3 linked regions of the Bombyx mori genome follow. The protein of the gene in region 1 interacts with the protein of each later gene in a pairwise test. Links are inferred from orthologs where the notes say so. Each region holds a gene or a part of one and is shown on either strand. Other genes may lie near its edges.

Region 1 (4,366 bases):
TATCTAACCTGACTCGTTTAAACTCTTATTTCCTCTATTTTTCGTTATCTTCTTGCTAGATTCATCATCTATTGCTGAAGAATTCATTTCTAAATCACTTTCTACTTTTGAACTGAAACTCTCGTCTTTATCTTTTTTTTCTATTTTAATTTTTTTGCTAACAGCATTTTCGTCTTTAATGTTCGTCTCAATAAATTCAGAGAATTTTCTTTTATTACCTTCCTTAACTTCATCTATTATGCTTTTGTTTTTTAAATTATTAACATTGTAGCTATCTGTTTTCTTCTCTTTATCTTTCAAAGAAGGTAATGAATCTTTGTCTAATTTAATACTTTCTTTTTGTTTCATTTCTTTTTGCAGTTTTCTTTCGTGTGATTTATCATTGTTTCCATTTTCTAAGGGTGTGAAATCAATATTTTTATTTTTTTCTAGATGATCAATCTCATCTATTTCAAGAAGACTCTTTTCGAATTCATCATCCGAATGTATTCCTAACTCTGTTTTGTTCTTTTCTTTTTTGACTATGGGCTCAGTTCTTATGATGGGTGCATTTCCAAATAAATCTATCGGTTTCACTTCTTTTAATTCTGCAGTAGATTTGTTTTTTTTATTTAAGTGTGTTTCCGATTTTTTTGGTTTTTTCGTTTGTATTTCATCATCTGAGTCATCTAATATAACTCTTTTCTTCCTTGCTTCTTTTTTCTGAAAGCACATTACATTAATATCATTAAAAATCTTACAAAAATGTGGTTGGTGTCTTGTGAGTTGGTAAAGGTCATCATCTTGCCTATTTTTATTGTGAAGCAGTCATTCTCAATTACTCTAGTTTAATGGTAGAGCAACCCTTTAATCATTATAATTGAGACTTTATCCTTGCATATCAAGGCAGATGGTGATAAATGTAGGACCTGAGGGCTCCTGTAAATACTTCACATTAGTTGGACCTTGATTGGTTGGTATTACTGAATTGGTATTAATGGTGGTAGGACCTCTTGTGAGTCCACCACCACCTATTTCTGCCGTGAAGCAGTAATGCGTTTCGGTTTGAAGGGTGGGGCAGCCGGTGTAACTATACTGGGGCCTTAGAACTTATATCTCAAGGTGGGTGGCGCACTTACGTTGTGGATGTCTATGGGCTCCAGTAACCACTTAACACCAGGTGGGCTGTGAGCTCGTCCACTTATTTATGCAATAAATAAAAAAAAAACTTTTTAATTCACATTTTTTTTACTGTACTTCAGTTGTTATTTTATTAATTTGAAAATTTTATTTTTGTTTTTTGAAGAAAAAAGAAATCATCCGGTCAATAAATCTATTCATTAATATTGTGTATTATGAAATTACAAAACTTGTTATATTATTTCCCACATTATTTTTAAATTTCTAGTACTGATTGATTGACTCCATAAATAGATCAAAAACTTCTATTCAGATGCTAGTTGTGAGATTGCTAACAAAAAATATTAGCTAATATATTTTCTATTTTTTATGTATTGCGTAAATTGGTGGACGAGATCACGGCCCACCTGGTGTTAAGTGGTTACCGGAGCACATGGCAACTACAGCAGAAATGCTGCCACTGACCTCGAGATATGAGTTCTAAGGTCTCAGTATAGTAGCTGCCCGATTCTTCAAGCCGAAACGCATTACTGCTTCATGGCAGAAATAGGCATGCTGGTAGTACCTAACCGTGCGGACACACAAGTCCTACCACCAGTGATTACACAAATTATAATTTTGAAGGTTTAATTTTTATTACACAGTGTTATTCCTTCACTGTGGAAATCAATCGTGGACATTTGTCAAGTACATATTTCATTAGAAAAATTGGTACCGGCCTGCGGGATTCGAACACCGTTGCATCGCTCAACATGAATGTACCAGATGTCTTATCCTTTAGGCCAAGACGACTACTACAAACAAAACACTCATTTTAGTTTTAGATTATTACCTTCTTTTTAATTTGTACATCAGGAGATTCAGGAATAATATCATCATCATCAGGAACTGCTTCCTTGGACTTTACAGGTTTCTTCGTTGTGATAAAAAATGATCTTATATCCTATGATTAAATGCTTATTTAGAATGTACCATATAATCTTAACTCACTCAGATATGTACTATGTATGAACTGGTAATTAGTCATCTATTTGATATGTGAAGTGTGGGATAGCTGTTACACAATAAAATGTGGGTATCGGCATTAATGTTGTGATGTCTGTACCCCTCGGTAACTACTCAACGGCAGATTCGCCTTGAGCAATCAAACCCATGTTAGTCTGGATATTTAGAGTAGTGAAAAAATCATATACGACAATATTTTGGAAAATCTGTTATCGTGACACAATCTGATAATTATATTCATATGTACATCAATCGTAATATCTAATCCCAAGTTAATACAACATTTTTTCAAAACTTCAGATGATCGAAGCAATTTAAATTAATCGTAAGTAAATGCGTATCAGTGTAGAGAATATAGTGTAGCGAATATAATGAAGAAAAGTATTCTTAATATAAAACTTATTTGGCCACTACAGTTCTTCAAGGTCCTCAAATGCTGAAGAGCATCTTTTAGTTTTAGTACCATTTTATTTCTTATTAATATATTCTTACTTCACCTTAGACATTTTCTTATTTAATACGGTCTTCTAATTTAATGAATTATCAGCTTTATCATGTTCATTTGAAATCTGATTTTTTGAATAAATTTATAAGTGTATTTTCGCGGAAAATACCGTTCAGCTATGTTTGATTCAATTTCAATGAAGAATTGACAGGACAGCTGTTGAACTGAGTTTGACAGTTAGCTTGAAGCAGCTTCAGTGACAATCAAATAATTTCCTATATTTTAAAATTGAACCGAAGATTAAATTAATATAAAATTTATCTTTAATGAAAATCCTATGACTTAATAAAATGAATACCTCTCCCTGGTTTAAGTCATGAAGTCGAACTAATTTAATAAATAATTTCAGAAAAAAGGCAATTACTTATTTAGGACTTCTGCACTTATGGTTGATTAAATTACTACAACATACATACATAATGATTGTGATTTATATTTTTATTTATAAAAGTAAGTCCATAGAATGCTCTCAAAGTATTCAAAGGAAAAACCAAAGTTAAATAGGTACCTATCATAGACCTATATAGTAGGGACACGACATATTGTTCTATACGTACAATTGCTTATATAAATAGCACCCATTTTGAAGGCACACACATAAACATATATCTATCTCGTTCTTACTCAGCACTTTAACTCGCAGGAAAACAATATAACAGTATTTCAGTGCGTACATAAAATGAAACATGAATATACGTAAATATCTCCGTCTCCGTCTAATGCGGCCGAAAATCCGCCATGTTTAGCGCGCCAAATGTCATTGTCACGTCAGTTCGGCCGTCTGTTTTGGGTTGTACATTAATTATTGACTTTGATATCGATTAAATATGATTGCTTATATAAAATTTCATAATTTATCATGCTTAGAACATACAAAAATAATAATTAAAACGTATTTTATAGGATCTCAAGAAAGTCGATGTCCCAAAACTATTATCTATATATATTTAAATTCATTAAGGAGCCCTCATCCGAAAAATCGGACACCATTTTTCGGTCGGAATCTATTGATCATGACACTAATCATAAATACCTCTTTAAAATATGTCATCAAAACATATTTAGACATTCTGTTTAGATATTTCGGGAAAAAGGCTACCGACAAAATCTCTTCGGAACTATTTAAATAAAATAGTTTTATTCGCAGTGAGTAAAACACTATTGTAAATTCGTTAAATATTTAATACTTAAGTGATTTTAGAGAGGAAGTCACAAGGAATGACGTTTTTAATAATGAATAAATGTTCTGTAGGTGTTTTTTTTTTCACGCGGTCCCTTGATAAGTTTAAAATTTGAATCACTCTCAAGTGAAAGTGATTCAAATGGTGCGGCGCACCTTCCTTGGGGTGCGCTGCGGTAGTGTGTTACGGACTTTAGAGTCAGCAAAACAATCAAAATAGATTGTAATAGTCTAAGAAAAACACGTACTCAAAATACGATAACATTCAGCATGCTAAAAATGGGCTGATGGCACTGTACTATGCCATATCTTTATGTTTTGCGGCAAACGACAACTTTATAAAATCAGTGTAGCAAATTTTAAAAATCGTCATATCGTTTACTTGGAAAATTTGAAGGACGAACTCGTCTTAGATTTCACATAATATCTAAATCACATCATCTTTGCACATAACAATATACTTACTTCCTATTAAAGTATAAATTCTACAAATACATTCGTACTCAACAATATTTAAAATAAAATGAGCCAAGAACGTTTATCGATAAAACCTACTA
Region 2 (4,202 bases), about 2.9 Mb from region 1:
TGGCTAATTTGCACAGCGTAAATTTTGTAATGGTATACAATAAATTAAATAAGGTAAAAAGAACAAAATAAATAGGAGGTTTTGCAAACTTCTTACCGTTTAATAACATTCTCTCTAGCTAATGGCTTAAAGCGAAATTTTGAACAGCGACTCGTGATTGGCGGTATGATCCTTGACACATAGTTGCAGATGAGACAGAACCGTGTAGTACGAGTCTCGCGTTCCATAGTGCGTCGAAGTGCCGCTTGAGCTGCTGTAGTCATCGAGTCTGCTTCATCCAGAATGACCAGTTTGTATGAGGGACATGGTCGACCACTATACGAACATGTAATATTTAGCAGTATTGCTTGATTATACAAACATGCACTTGTCATTGTATATATAATACATACACACAAATATGTATCTCTTATTCAAAAAAATGGGCCAAATGATTTTCTTAGTCTCAAGTTTATAGCACGACACACCCTTTTTTTATTCCTTCCATTATTATTATTAGGGATTTTCAACTTATTTTTAATTCTTAAATCTAGTGGTACGTTTTGATTAAATCATGACATGATAAAGACAGCCTGTTAATTTTGTTAAAATGTAGTTACCCATTTCAGTTCTAAGGGTGAGAGAAACATTTAGCTCTTCAATGAGCTAAGTTTGTTTAAGAATTTGCACATATTGTTTGACAATTTTTAAATAATATTTTAATATATTATCTTACTATATGCAAATAAGTATAAAGACTTTGACCTCATGTGTCAAGGTTTAAGGTTGTGGGATTTAAATTGGACATTAATGAACATTCACATGCTTAGTAACAAACTGACCTAAATCCTAAAAAAGCAAATTGTTTTCAATTGACTCTCACAATCTCAGACTCATAATGGTTTATGTCAGTACCATTATACAATCTTGGTCAAAATATACATACATAAAAGAGACAAATACATACTTAAGAAACGTTCATGAATGACTTTGACGGTGATGGAAGAACATCAGGTAATAATAATCAAACTGGCAAAAATTATAAATTGCGTAATTAATGGTGGTAGGGCGTCTTGTGTGCCCGTACAGATAGTTACGACCCCTTGCCTTTTTTGCTTTGAAGTGCCAACCAGAGCATTTCGGTTTGCAGGTGTGGCAGCCGTTGTACCGTAAAACTGAGACCTAGAACTCATGGATGGAGGAATTTATGTTGTTGCTGTTTATGAGCTCCAGTTACCACTTAAACCAAGTGGACCGTGAACTCGTCCACCCAATTTAGCAAAAAAATAATATTCATAAAAATTCTGAGATATAAATCTCTATAATTCACTTAGGATTTAAATCATAATTGATCACGCTATTAATAAGGATATGAATTATTATGTCTAAGTCATGAAAACAAATAAAAATATTATTTGGGTTTCAAGTCACCTTTACATACATTACATCTTTTATTTAGGGGCCCAAGCTAAGGTAATATAATTAATAAATTGTCCTTTTTATTGTTGCAATTAATTAGGTTTCAGTAACATCAACTGCAAGCCCTTTAAAGTTTTAAATTGATACGAACAGATGTAACATCAATTTGACGAATGTAACATCAATTTGTTAACTTGTTAACCCACTGAGTTTCTCGCTGGATATTCTCAGTGGATCGCGAGTCCGATCCTGTAGTAGATTCAGCGAACCACTGCTCTTGCTAAGGCTAGTGTTAGCAATTCCCTCTGGTTGAGCCCGTGGGCTCACCTGCCAGTCCATGTGAAGTTGGATGATTAGGAAGGGAGAAAAAATTACATGTAATCGAGTAGTTGTGGTTGAGGCTGCCACTCAAGTAAGGACCAGTTTAGTCATGGTATGTTATTATAATTGATAAGGATATAGATAAGCTAGTATGCATCTACTAATAAAATGGAGTGGTTTCGAAAAATAAAATGAATAGTAATTTATTTTTTTCGAATTAAAGGTTGTTAATAAATTATTATTTCTAAATGTAATTAGGATTAACACATTAGGATTTCATTTAACAGTTACAGTTGGTCATGGCAGCCTTTTTTAATCAGGTAAATAGGCAGGAAATTATGACTTATGTCTGCTTATTACTGCTGTATATTACAAATATTATTGGTAAAATCAGAGTACTTACTCAGCTCTTTTTCCGCTAACTGTAAGCTGGGCAAATGCTTTAACTTTATCTCTAACGACTTGTATACCGCGTTCATCGGATGCATTTAATTCCAACACGCGGTCTCGACTGATATCTCCGAAGAGTTGCTTTGCAGCGGCAAGTATGGCACTCGTTTTACCGGTACCCGGCGGTCCATAAAATAGTAAATGCGGTAGATCTCCACCGGATAAACATTCCCTTAGCACTTGAACAACCTCTCCTTGGTCCACTATATCGTCTATTGTCTTCGGTCTACTGGTAAAGAAGATTATGATACAGCAAAATTTAAATTTAGATGATTTTAGTAATATTCCTGTACTTACTATTTTTCGACCCATGGAGCTGGAGGTTTTTTCTTATTTGTAGTTTTAACTCCAGAAGTTGACGCTTTGTCTCCTGCAGATATCTTTCCAGTCTTAAGAAATGCTTGCATTTTATGAGAGTATTTACTGATTTCCTTTTCACTATTTTGAAATTCACAATTTTTTTGACCTGTTGTTGAATTGCTTTGAGTTGAATTTATCAGGCATGGGGAGCTTGTTAATACAGCCACTTTCTTGTTTTTTAGAAAGTTAACGTTTTTTAGAATTATACACGTAGACTTTTTGGCACGAACACATTAGACATAGCATTATAAGTTTCGAAAACTCTTTCGTATTATTAGTTTAATGTTCCTTCAGGTTGGAACGAATTTAAATGGCTATTTTTTTAATTTTCTAGCATCTTCAAAATTGCAGAAGTATCGTAAAATAAACTAAATCGCCGGACGTGACTTCTCGTGTTCTTCAACTCTGAAGTCCATTGAAGCTTTAGTAAATTTCCACCGTTTTACTAAGAAATAACTTTACTTCATTACGTCCAACAACCATGTAATAGTTTTATTATATAGTTTTTTATTTCTACGTAATTGTAGTAACCTATTTTATTTTCTTTAATACCATATTCAATTTAATTTTCACTTTCAGTTCTTTTATGTATACTTACTTTATATACAATAATTACTTTAATTACTGTTGGACGGTTAAATTTGAGGGGATTGGGTTCTGTAGGTGATGAGGGGCTATTTAAAAACACAACTGCTTCATTATAATTATATTGCAGATTGCTTGAACACTTTTACACCATTATACAATTATTATCTTTATATTTTTTTAATGAAACTATTACATGTTTTTCATGCCGTGTCTAGATGAGAAGTAACTGACATTTTCTTACGAGAATACAATGATCTGTTTTTTAAAACATTTAAAATAATTCCAATATTCGAAATCTAATCAAGTGTCAAGTGTTGCCTGCCATTACATTTAATATACAAACTCCAACACACCCCCTCAACACTTGCACACATTTTTCTCCGTCTATAACTTAGTACCAAAAAAGAATAATGCTAACCTGACCTTCATAAATTAATTCTTTCCATACATACCTAAAAAACCTCACAACCACTTACATTCCGTCACTTCTACATAATCCCTCTCAATTCAACCATCAACTATTCATTCAACCTTTCAAACTTAATACTATCTTTAATGTCGCTACCTTTAATCCTTTCTTACTTCTCCAACTCCAATTCGATCAAAAATGTACTTTCATTCAACCATACAACCTTAACTTCTCTCTTGACTCACTATATAAAACCTTAACTATAATAGTCTAACTCCTTCTCGACTTCCTACATAAACTCTTCAAGTTTATTTAAAACTTTTAACGCCTTCTCAACCTCTTTACTTTAATAACCTTAAACGCCTTCTCAACCTCTTTACTTTAATAACCTTAAACGCCTTCTCAACCTCTTTACTTTAATAACCTTAAACGCCTTCTCAACCTCTTTACTTTAATAACCTTAAACGCCTTCTCAACCTCTTTACTTTAATAACCTTAAACGCCTTCTCAACCTCTTTACTTTAATAACCTTAAACGCCTTCTCAACCTCTTTACTTTAATAACCTTAAACGCCTTCTCAACCTCTTTACTTTAATAACCTCCTTCTCGACCTCTTTAACCTAAACTCCTTCTCGACTCTAACCTTTAACTCCTTCTCGACTCTAACCTTTAACTC
Region 3 (3,160 bases), on another chromosome or scaffold:
TTGTCTTGAATATGAAGCAACAGCTAATGTTGTGCTACCAGTATCAATTAAAAGGTTTATCTGAAATAAATAAATATTTTATTAGACTAGATGGTCTTCGAATGCATTTTCGTTATGGTCATTTCTTTAATACCATTTTTGAGCAGACTAGCTCAAAACTTACTAAATGATATTTAATATTAAGCCAAGACATGGGATACTGCTGTGCACTTTTATACATAGGCTGAAATCTTAATGACTATGAAAAGTAAAGCTGTGGTTTAAAAATAGCCACAGATGTGTATTTACAAGATGTACCACTCATAGTTCTTATCAATTTACAAAATTTGCTGATTAGTTTAAATATTTGGTTGTTTTTCTTAAATTCTTCACTGATTTCACATCATAAGAAAAAATAGTTATGAATGCTATAATGTGTGATAATTTTACGACCAATTCTTTTTTATATTTAGAAACTGAATTCTTTCATAATAACTGTTTGACTGGTTTACCTACGTCATGAAGTTGCCAGAAAATGGAAATGGCAAATAGAACAAAACTTTATGTTTTGTTGTTTTTTCCGACCCAATTTTGTGTGCTATGGGTAAGAAGATTAATTAATATAGTATTACCTTTTGATGTGGATGTCCCATGATTACCTCAACAGAATAGGCAAGGCCGGCATCTCCTTGCAAATTAAACTGTTCTCCATTCGCACAAATACAATAGAGAAAAATTATTAACAGCTTCGCCATTTCAGCGATCTACGCCATCGAAAAATTGGCTTAATATTTGAACCAGGTTTATCGAAACTAAACCAATGGGTTTGTTAAGGATTTGTTAAAGGTTTTGAGATTTGTAAACAATGTCAATTGTCAAGTCAAGTATCACATATGTCAGATAGGGATAACGATTCAAGATCGACTTCTCACAGAATCGATTTGTTTGAAACCAAAAATTAAGTTTTATTTAAATTAATCGAAAATAATACCAAATAGTATCAAAATTTCGTTTTTTTCTGTATTGATACAAACAAATAATTAGCAATTAATTTTAGTGTAATCAATTAATTTAATTTACACGCATCTGCAAACACGTGTAAATTTTTTTCCTAGTATGAGCTCGTTCACCGATCTTCGAATTAAATAAATCAATAAATTTCTAAAAGCTCAAGTAAATCGAAAATTTAAAAATTTTTAGGAATCGCTTTTTCAAATCGTCTTCTCAGCCTGGTAAATTTTTTAGACTTCGATTTCGAATAATGGCTAACACACTCATAATCTCAAAAAGATCAACACAGGGAAGGAGATTTTGGCGGTATGCCTGTATTTCTTTTGCCTGTACTACAAACAAATTAAGCAATAACAATCAGTAAAAAAGCCGCCGAAACTTGTGACAAATTTGACTTATAAACAAAATTGAAGTTATTTAAAAGTTATAAATTAACTGAAAAATGAGTCTCTGGGTTGATAAACATAGACCAAAAGATTTAATGAAGTTGGATTACCACAAAGAACAAGCTGTACGTCTGAAAAATCTTGTGCAACAAAGTGACTTTCCTCACCTTCTTATTTACGGGCCCTCTGGAGCCGGTAAGAAAACACGAGTTATGTGCTTATTGAGAGAGCTTTATGGATCAGGTGTGGAGCGCTTAAGGCAAGAAACAATGAATTTTACAACACCCTCAAACAAGAAAATCGAAATTATGACAGTTAGCAGTAACTATCACATTGAAGTTAACCCAACCGACGTCGGAATTCATGATCGCGTTGTTATTATGGATTTAGTAAAAAACGTTGCTCAAACTCATCAGATAGATTCAAACGGACAACGTGAATTCAAGGTTGTCATTTTAAATGAAGTAGATGATTTAACCAAGGACGCACAACACGCATTACGTAGAACCATGGAGAAATATGTGGCAACTTGTCGTCTCATACTTATTGCTAATTCTATTTCTAGAGTCATTCCAGCGATAAGATCACGTTGTTTGACGATATCAGTACCTGCACCCACTGAATCTGAAATTGCAACAGTGCTTCAACTTGTTTGTAAAAAGGAATGTCTAAGCTTACCTAATGATTTAGCACTACGTATAGCCAAATCTGCTGATCGTAATTTACGCCGAGCATTACTCATGTGTGAGGCTTGTAAGGTCCAACAATATCCCTTTACACCCGATCAAAAAGTGCCAGAACCGGATTGGCAAACATTCATAAGAGAAACTGCATCAATGATTTTATCAGAACAGTCCCCAAAAAAACTATGTGAAGTACGTCAGAAACTTTATGAACTAATAATACATGGAATACCAACAGAGACTATATTTTCAGGATTACTTAAAGAATTAGTAAGAAATTGTGATATGACTTTAAAATGTCAAGTAGCGAGCTATGCAGCACGATATGAGCACAGGATGCGATTAGGGAATAAGCCAATATTCCACCTTGAAGCTTTTGTTGCTAAATTTATGGCTATTTATAAGAAATTTATGGAAGAATCCTTAGGTGATATGTTTTGAGCAGACTGATTTTTTTTATTATTTGTGTATTAAGTAAAGTGAAAATAATTGTGAATAGCTTTTAATAAAATTAAATTAGTATTGTGACTGTAATTCAAGTAAATCATTTGAAACCTCTGGGTCTGGTGAGAAAAACCTTGGTTCCCTGTGTGGTTATACTCTATGTTCTATAAGTAATCTCTATGTAACCATCACTGATCACTCCATAGAGTTCATACCTACTCGTGGGCTTGCTGTAAACATTAGCTTGGTGCCAGATATAATTTTTGCCATATGTTTTTTGGGTCTGAAATTAGCTTCACTCTAACTTTTCACTACTCTATATCTTCTGAGGGCAATGAAATGCTCTTTTTCAAAAAGTGCTCTCACCAGAAGGCAACCAGTTTGCTGTGAGGACATTTTTGGTGTTTATGAGTACAGTGATCACTTACTATTGAGTGTACTACATGTCAGTTCATGGTAGGAATCCCTAAAAAAAGCGAGTATATAGGTAATCTCAGATCAGATCATAAAGTTGATCTTTCTTAATTCTGTACTGTTAGTAATTAATGATTAGCAGACATCTCTACCCATAATTAAAGAAAAAAAAACTAAATAATAACTAGGCAAAAGTAATGTGAAGCAAACATACATGTATCAAAAAAAGTAATTTTAAAAATT

The links.
Region 2: the proteins of replication factor C subunit 1 (region 1) and replication factor C4 interact in a two-hybrid assay, tested with the Caenorhabditis elegans proteins (3 studies listed by BioGRID). The link is inferred for Bombyx mori from reciprocal best matches to the Caenorhabditis elegans genes rfc-1 and rfc-4.
Region 3: the proteins of replication factor C subunit 1 (region 1) and replication factor C subunit 3 interact in a two-hybrid assay, tested with the Caenorhabditis elegans proteins (3 studies listed by BioGRID). The link is inferred for Bombyx mori from reciprocal best matches to the Caenorhabditis elegans genes rfc-1 and rfc-3.

Annotation. Positions count from the first base shown.
Region 1 is NC_085121.1:15,073,873-15,078,238, forward strand, and holds the start of replication factor C subunit 1, read right to left. Parts: upstream 2,807-4,366; 5' UTR 2,631-2,806; coding exon 2,622-2,630; intron 2,063-2,621; coding exon 1,952-2,062; intron 703-1,951; coding exon 9-702; intron 1-8.
Region 2 is NC_085121.1:12,205,085-12,209,286, reverse strand, and holds the start of replication factor C4, read right to left. Parts: upstream 2,879-4,202; 5' UTR 2,577-2,878; coding exon 2,467-2,576; intron 2,399-2,466; coding exon 2,123-2,398; intron 316-2,122; coding exon 97-315; intron 1-96. UniProt on the Caenorhabditis elegans protein: The elongation of primed DNA templates by DNA polymerase delta and epsilon requires the action of the accessory proteins PCNA and activator 1. This subunit may be involved in the elongation of the multiprimed DNA template.
Region 3 is NC_085129.1:10,045,359-10,048,518, reverse strand, and holds replication factor C subunit 3, read left to right. Parts: upstream 1-1,279; 5' UTR 1,280-1,432; coding exon 1,433-2,500; 3' UTR 2,501-2,593; downstream 2,594-3,160. Other genes in the region: beta-secretase 1, read right to left, coding at 1-60, 612-734.